Linked DNA regions of Cricetulus griseus. The main gene of each other region encodes a partner of the protein of the gene in region 2 in a complex. Links are inferred from orthologs where the notes say so. Each region holds a gene or a part of one and is shown on either strand. Other genes may lie near its edges.

The links. The genes of interacting proteins can lie anywhere in the genome.
Region 1: the proteins of Aak1 (region 2) and Pdlim5 are in contact, whole or in part, in a crystal structure (PDB 9F6S), measured with the Homo sapiens proteins. The link is inferred for Cricetulus griseus from reciprocal best matches to the Homo sapiens genes AAK1 and PDLIM5. Residues at the interface, in NP_055726.4 of Homo sapiens: Asp956, Leu958, Ile959, Asp960, Leu961; in NP_006448.5 of Homo sapiens: Ala12, Pro13, Trp14, Gly15, Phe16, Arg17, Leu18, Phe24, Gln67, Ile70, Lys71.

What each region holds. Positions count from the first base shown.
Region 1 is NW_023276806.1:17,535,414-17,538,913, forward strand, and holds part of Pdlim5 (PDZ and LIM domain protein 5), read left to right. Parts: intron 1-1,011; coding exon 1,012-1,132; intron 1,133-3,500. UniProt on the Homo sapiens protein: May play an important role in the heart development by scaffolding PKC to the Z-disk region. May play a role in the regulation of cardiomyocyte expansion. Isoforms lacking the LIM domains may negatively modulate the scaffolding activity of isoform 1.
Region 2 is NC_048601.1:58,582,655-58,586,862, forward strand, and holds the start of Aak1 (AP2-associated protein kinase 1), read left to right. Parts: upstream 1-1,408; 5' UTR 1,409-1,425; intron 1,426-1,479; exon of another isoform or gene 1,480-1,620; intron 1,621-1,807; 5' UTR 1,808-2,028; coding exon 2,029-2,191; intron 2,192-4,208.

The DNA.
Region 1 (3,500 bases), on a different chromosome or scaffold from region 2:
ATAATGAAATTCTAGAAAAAAAAATGTGAATTGTGGAGAACATGCTTAAGTAGGTGTGAAACATTCAAAATAGTTTCAATTATAAATATGCTACCTAACCAACCAATCTCTATGTTATTAATTTGTACATTGCATTGGCAATAAAGGAGTATAATGGCTAGCTTGTCCATAAGTGCTGACAGATAATCAGTTAGTAGGCTATATGTCAAGGTAACATTTAGTGAATAAGCATTCTGTGAATTAATTAATAAAAGTCAAGAATGGCAAAAGTTATAAGATTCTAGGAAGTGAAAGAAAGAATTCCCATATTATTAAATATTCTCCAGAAATTATTTTTTAGTTGCTTTACCTCTTCTTAATCGAATCCTTAGAACAATTCTTGAAAAACTAACAACCCCAAACTTCTTACTGATTAAATCTCTTCCAAGTCTTGCATCTTGGAATATTTAACAGGAAGCCATTGTGGACTAGGATCCTAGCTTTTATGGTTCACACTTCACTCAGTGGAGTAAGTGCATAGTACAGTCACAGCTGATTCCCAAAAGCTAAACACTCAATGAGCTGATTGGATTATACTGATTACATTATTGCTTCCATAATGCACTGGAGTTTAGGTTTGTTTTAGTTTTTAAATGCTTTCCCCTCCTTCATGACATTTTCAAGATAATGCCATGAAAGTTTTTTAGGTTAATGCATCCTGACGCCCTTTGAAAGAAAGCAGAATGTGTTGTAGCAAACCTTTCTGTAATTCTTCCCTTATGCACTGCATGTATAGAGTTAGTAATAGCTAATATTCTTTGTTTATGGATTTGTATTTATGAAAAGCACACTTTTTACAAAAGCTTTCAATGACGTGAGAATCTTCCACTAAGCATCTCTTGTTTCTTTGATGAAAACTTCAAGACAAAGATGAAATACGTACATCTACATTGAGTTAGTGTGGTTCAACAATGAGAGCAGGTATTGATGTGTTTATTGTCATCTTTCACTCCATCCACCTTTCTATAACAGGAAGTCATCAATGCTTTGAAGCAAACCTGGCACGTGTCCTGTTTCGTGTGTGTGGCCTGTGGAAAGCCCATCCGCAACAATGTTTTTCACTTGGAAGATGGAGAGCCATACTGCGAGACTGGTGAGATAATAAGCCATTAGTGCCTTTGCTAAGAATGAAGCTAAAACGCTTACGTTTCTGTACAATTGAAAGAAAAGTTTAGGTCAACAAGGTTTCCTTCTTTTAGAGGCATTACATATTACTCTGAATATATAGCAAAACAAAAATAATAGTGACTGTTCATGACTTTCAAAATGAACATTTCCAACTTCATTATGAGCATCAAGGTTAGCATTACTTAGTAGGAAAAACATGTTCAAATCTCCAATCATTTAAAGATATAAATTCTACTCATAATGTACCGTAAAACCACTATTGCTGTAAAGAATACCAAATGGTTATAAACATGAGAAATGTTCAACATTCGAATGTTACCGCTTTGCTTTTTAAAGCTACAACCTTGAAAGTAAACGTGAAATCCTTTGCTGCCATTACTGAATAGAAAAGCAATCCTGGCTCAGATTGCTCCCTGGTGAAGATGTTTTTAATAATTTAGGGTCCAAGAGCCTGCCACTCCCTTTGCTTTGTCACCTGAACACCCAGCACTTCCTTTTCTTTTGCCACATCTGCAAGTGAGCTTTCTTACCATTTACTCCTTATTCAGATATTGCTTCCACAATGGCTATTTCAAAATATGAAACATGCTTTGCTTTATTTTGCCTCTATTAACTACCATTAACTGAATTCCCACTATTCAGTTTTACTCTTATTTTAGATTAAAATTCAAAGTGTGGTCCTAGAAGAAGGGATTTTTGCCCAGTGGTAAAGTTCAAGAGACCATCAGCTTTTGTCTGAAGCCATTTCAGCATCACTTACCTCTTTGCTCACTTCCCCTTAACCCCTTAGTTAGGAAGGGTTTGGCTCTATTCCAGATTGCTCACCAGGAAGCCCCAGAACCTCCAATAAAATGCCCCATGTGTTGTTAGCAGTTTAAGTTGGCTGTAAACTTCCTACCATCTTCAGAGTATCTCATGTTCTGCAGCTTATTTTTTCTGGTTTTTGTTTAGTTGACTGGCTGGTTTGAGAGTTTTAGAAACTTTGTAAGACATTCTGACTAACTATGCAAAAACATAAACATCTGTCTAACCTGAGAAGTGTAATGTGTTCTAAGAAATCATGATATACAAGTAATGTATTGCTAGCAGAGGGGAATCGCGGTCTAATTTTTACTCTTTTTCTTTAACCTTCAGCCAGTTCTTAGCAATGTTCCCATCTCTGTAGATTAGATGGCTGCACTGTCTACTGTCCAAACACCTAGGATTTCTTTCTCTGTTCTTCTGAAACAGAATCTTAACAAGTGATTCCTAGCAACTCTGCTGCCAGTGGATATTGGATAAGCATCTCTGCCTTTATGCCCAGCTTACTCTTACTCTTCTCCTGGATTTCCCAATAGCAGCTGCAGAGAAATTGATGCAGTGTCAACCATGGCAGTCAGATTATGCTCGTATTCCATAAATGGCGTCCACTAGAATAAGAACCATTGTCCTTGCCAAAACCCACCTTGCCAGATTTATCTCCTGCTTCTTTACATTCTGACACTGGATTTAGCCCATATCTTATCCCTTTATTTTTCTGGACATGGCTAAGATTTTATTTCTAGCTCCAGGGCCTTCATACATAAAAGTTTCATCTAACTAGAATGCTTTCAGTGTGATTCATCATGACTGTCACATACCAGAGAAGGGTTTCCTAACCCTCCTATAATGTAGTGTGTGCCTAGTTATTCTGTATCATAGCACTGGTTTTTGCTACATTGTACTTATCACAGTCTTAACTGGAACCCCATGAGACAAGCATCCACACCTGTCCTTTTTGCCTCCCCACCTCAGTGCTGCCTGGAGCACTGCCTGCTAGAGTCTGTGGAGCTGTATTTAGCAGTGGTGCTAAAGAATCTCTGCACCAGGCTGCATATTATAGAATCCCTCCCCTCCAACTATGGCTGGATTGACATTATTAAAGGCCAAAAGTTGGCTCACAGGTCAACACAGCAGCAGTGGAGTTGAATAAAAGAAAATGGAAACGTGCTGGCATTCTTTTTTAATAGTAGAGAAAGGACAAGGCCACTCTCATCAAAAGGGAATTTGTTAGTATTTTAGAGCTAACCTTCAAGTTACTCATGTTGTCTGAGTAAAGATTTCCAGAATGAAGTCATGAAATTAGAAGGAAAATATAACAAAAGAAATTGAGGCTGGTTTTATTGGCATAATCCATCTAGGAACTCGGTCACAGTACTTATTTGTGAAAGTGTCCTGAAACCTGTATTCAAAGTTTGTTCTCAGATTATACTAACTAGGCTCATTGTTGCAAATTATTGAGAGTCCTCTTACTGTACCTGGACACATCCAAGTGTACTACTGAACACTACACACAACATGATCTCCTGTTCATG
Region 2 (4,208 bases):
GGTGCTGAGTCTCACCCTGAAGGTGGCTATGGGATTGTGTGAACTGAGGTGGCAATACTGGCTCTCTCCGGAAGGAAAGATGCTATCTCTCTCCGGGGAGTTAGATGACTATGGCACCACATGAAACAAGAAACCGCAGCAGCCACCCCAGCCCAGCCCAGCCCAGCCCAGCCCAGCCCAGCCCAGCTCAATAGTCAGATTAAACAAGAGCCATCTTTTTTTTTTTTTTCTTTCCTGGGGGCAATCTTCTAGATCTTCCTCAAGTGCCTGAAGCAGAAATTCCGGGATACGTTGCAAGTCCAGAGGGCGGTTGCATCATTAAGAATTGTGGAGAGCAGGTGGAGGAAAAAATTTATACTCAAAGAAGAAGAGAAAAAACATGTATTTCTTGGGGGAGGGGGTCAGGGGAGTTAGGGATTTGACACCACATCAGTATCGCCTGTGAGACAATCTAGGAACGGAGGTCTCAGTTCCCTTCCAAATCCTCAGCATTTGATAGGAGCCGATCACACAGCCCTATTCCCTATCCGCACCCAGGCGATACCAAGTCAACCCAGCATCTTCTAGTGAAAGAGTATCGAAGAGAAAGCAGTACGTGTGTCTCAAGTTCCCGCACGAATGTGTCTGGTGAGGACCAGGCAGGTCTGGGTCCGCTGAGGGCCATGGATTGGGTGTGGAGCCTTAGGGTGAACCGTGCGCTGGTCCCTAGATCCGCCCCCCACCCCCCCAGCATTGGGTCTCCTTGCAGTTGCTTTTCCGACCCTCGCTCGGGCTTCCCGGGAGTTCTCATCGTGGTCGGGGTAGGGAAGACACCTGTTTTGCTTCCTTCAGCACCGGGGTTCCTCTCGGCTCCCTGATGGCACCATGCTCCCCTCACCCCCTGCCTTCTGTCCCTCCGCTCCCGTGACGTCGGGGAACTCCCAAGCACAACTGGGGGCGAGGCAGTTAAGCCGCGTCCTTCAGGTGTCAATCCGGACCTATGTGAAACCACAATTCCCAGAGTGCCTCGGTCCACGAGGCCAAGGCAGATAAAATGGCCCCAGAGAGTGGGACATACAACTTGGAAACTGGTCTCCGGTGTCTTTACCGGATGTATTTAAATACTCGAAGCCCCACTTCTGCACCACTCCAGTATCACCTCCAGACCGCGGAGACCGCGTCTTAAGGTGCGCCCGCTCCCGGGGCATTTTGGGAATTGTAGTCCAGATGCCAGGTTGTACAGAACTACCTTTCCCATGGTGCGCAGCGGCCGGGCGACAGCAACGTTCTCTTTTCAAGTGTTTCTGTCCCGAGTGCCCCCTCCTCTGGTCCCCTTCTTGCCATCGATTTCTTTCGGTCTGTGACTACAGCTGGTATCCCAGAGGCGGCCCTGAGCGGGGGACCACGCTGCCCTGAGAGGCACTTCCGGTGACAGGTCACTTCCGGGTGGGTGGTCGGAGCCGACGGGCGCGCGCGCGCGCGGGGGAGGGGCGGCCTCAGCGCTGCGCTCGGGGATCAGCTGGCGGGCGGGCGCCTAAGTGGCCCCGGCTCTGCGGCAGCGCCGCCTCCACCGCGTCGCAGGCCGGCGGCCGTGGCCATGTCGCGGGGCTGGTAGCTGGGCTCGGCGCCGAGCCGCCGCTAGTGGGTGTCCGGGGTCCGGGGCCCGGGGCGGGGGTCCGGGCTGGGGGCCGGTGCGTTTCCAGGGCTTTCCTGAAGAAAATGCACGCAGCGTTTCCTCTGGATGACGGCCTTTGCTTCCCCTAGGACCCGGCAGTTGGGCTCAGGAGTGTGTTATTGATTCATCCTCTCTCTGCCTCTGTCATCGCAGGTTTAAACTTAAAAGATCGCTCTCCGAGGAGGAGGGGACCCATCCTGCAATTGACAGTATATTCCTGCAGGCGCCGTCCCTCAGCCCCCACCCCACGGCCGGATTCCCGTGGCTCTGTTCCAGGCTGAAACCCGAGAAGAAATCCTTAGATCTCTTTTCTTTACAACGAATACGAACCGAGAAACCATCGGCATTTTGCCTTGGCGTTTCCTATTGGAAAGATGAAGAAGTTTTTCGACTCCAGGCGGGAGCAGGGCAGCTCTGGCCTGGGCTCAGGCTCCAGCGGAGGAGGGGGCAGCAGCTCAGGCCTGGGCAGTGGCTACATCGGAAGGGTCTTTGGCATCGGGCGGCAGCAGGTCACCGTGGACGAGGTGCTGGCGGAAGGTACGTTGGAAGCCAGTGCGCGGTGAATTAAATTCATGTGCTGATGTGGCAAGACTCTGGTTTCTAGTTGTATGAATGGGTTTTGACCAGCTGACCCTCCCTTCCCCCTGCACTTTCCCTGTGAGTCATTGTCCTTGAGAGATTTAAAACTAAGACTGGGAATTGACAGGGCTTGGGGGGCAGTATTGCCCAAATTGTTTACCTCAGTGGCCTTTTATTTTAGTTGGCCGGGGCGGGGTGGGGGGGGACGGCTTGGAGAAACCTCCTCCTTTGACTGAATTATGCGGATCAGATGTGAAAACGAATACGTGAAGTAGAAATGACATCAATTGCAGGGTGGTGGGGCTTGGCGTTCCTCTGAAACTTTAAATTCTGATGTGGAGGCTGAATGGTGGGGATGGGAAGAGATCTTAAAAAGAGAGAGGGGTTTCTCCTATCCAACTTTCCCATTTCTATAAGTATCCAAAGAGAATTTTTCTGGTGATGGGAATGCATTTTTTTTGGTCGTTTGACTAGGTTTATTTCTTCACCCAACTATAATCAGGTCCCCAGGATGTAGCTAAGATAAAAATCATAAGAAGTGAATGAGATTGTTTTGAACTCAGTCGCCTAGGCCTCTTTTCTCTTGTTTTAGTTTCTATTTAAGAATTACTTAACAGTGGCTATGGTTTAGTTTTCTCTCAATTGGAGAGGGTGCTCTTTAGATCCGCTGTGTGGATTCTCTTGGTGTGTGTTCATTTGTGTATCTGTACTCATGCCCCAGGCTTTAGGGAAATCTTTTTTGAGTGTTCCTCTGCTAACCTTAACCTCGACCTTCATAATTATGCCAGACTGATACTTTTCACAGCTCATTGCCTGCTTAGGGGTGCTTTTATTTTTAATAAAAGCAGCGATTTCCTTGGCATGAAGCAATTCAAACTAATTGGATAGGGCCAGCCTACTGTAGGTTGTGTTACAGACTGCCAGGGGTTGGGTATGGGGGAGGTCTCAGTGAAGGCAACATGGTGGTAGGGGACAGCTTATTAGCTAGGGAAGAGAGGATGAAAGCTAAGAAGCCCCCTTGAAAAGGAGGCTTTGAAAGCTGAGATTGAAGCAAGGATCCCTACCTGGGCTTAGGAAATGCCTGTCATGGTGAGTGTTGTGGGGTGGTGGATGGGTGGGTGGGAAGAGGGAGAAGCTGTGTTTGACTCAGTTTGTGTGAGCACTGGATTTGGTGGGGCCTGGCATCTGAGGGTAGGACTGATGCCTGTACTTAAAAAGCACAATTTTAAAGAGATACCTGATAATGAATTTCCGTTTGAAATTACTGCTTTTTTTTTTTTTTAATTCTTGGTAATGCTGCAACTAGACTTAGCCTGGGCCTGAGTCACCATCCTTTCTGGACCTTTCTTTGAGGACTCTGGTGCATGGTGGGAGATGCTTCTGTGTCTGCTGCCAGATCTGTACCTTGGAATCTGAGCTGACTCTTTCATCCCATAGCCAAAGTCCTTGACTGCAGTGGGTGGAGTGTGTGAGAGAGCTGGAGGATGAGGGGCACAGAGCACTTTCCTCCTCTGTAAATGGCCTCTGCTGGCCTCAGAACCTAAGAGCATTTTTCTTTCTTTCTTTCTTTCTTTCTTTCTTTCTTTCTTTCTTTCTTTTTTTTTTTTTTTTTTTTCAGCTAGGATGTTGTCTCATCGTGTGTTGCCCTAAGCATTGCCTATTCTCTGAGTCTTGGAAGAGTGATGGGAAAGAGAAAACACAAAATTGGTCTTTGTTTTCTAGGCTGCCCTGGAACTCATCCTGAGAACTGCACATTGTGCATTCTGATATTTTAAAAAGTAGAACTTAGGGTTTGCAACTGTGTACACATTTATTTCTTCAACCAACAGTTACTGGGTACCTGTGATGTGGCAGTTCTGTCCTAGGTTCTGGGGATGTGATGTTAAACTAGATGCTAGAGTTTCAGAGATGTTTTAAGAGATGGAAAATGGACAGCTAGTGATATGATTAGTGTCACCATGAAAGTAAACTAGGG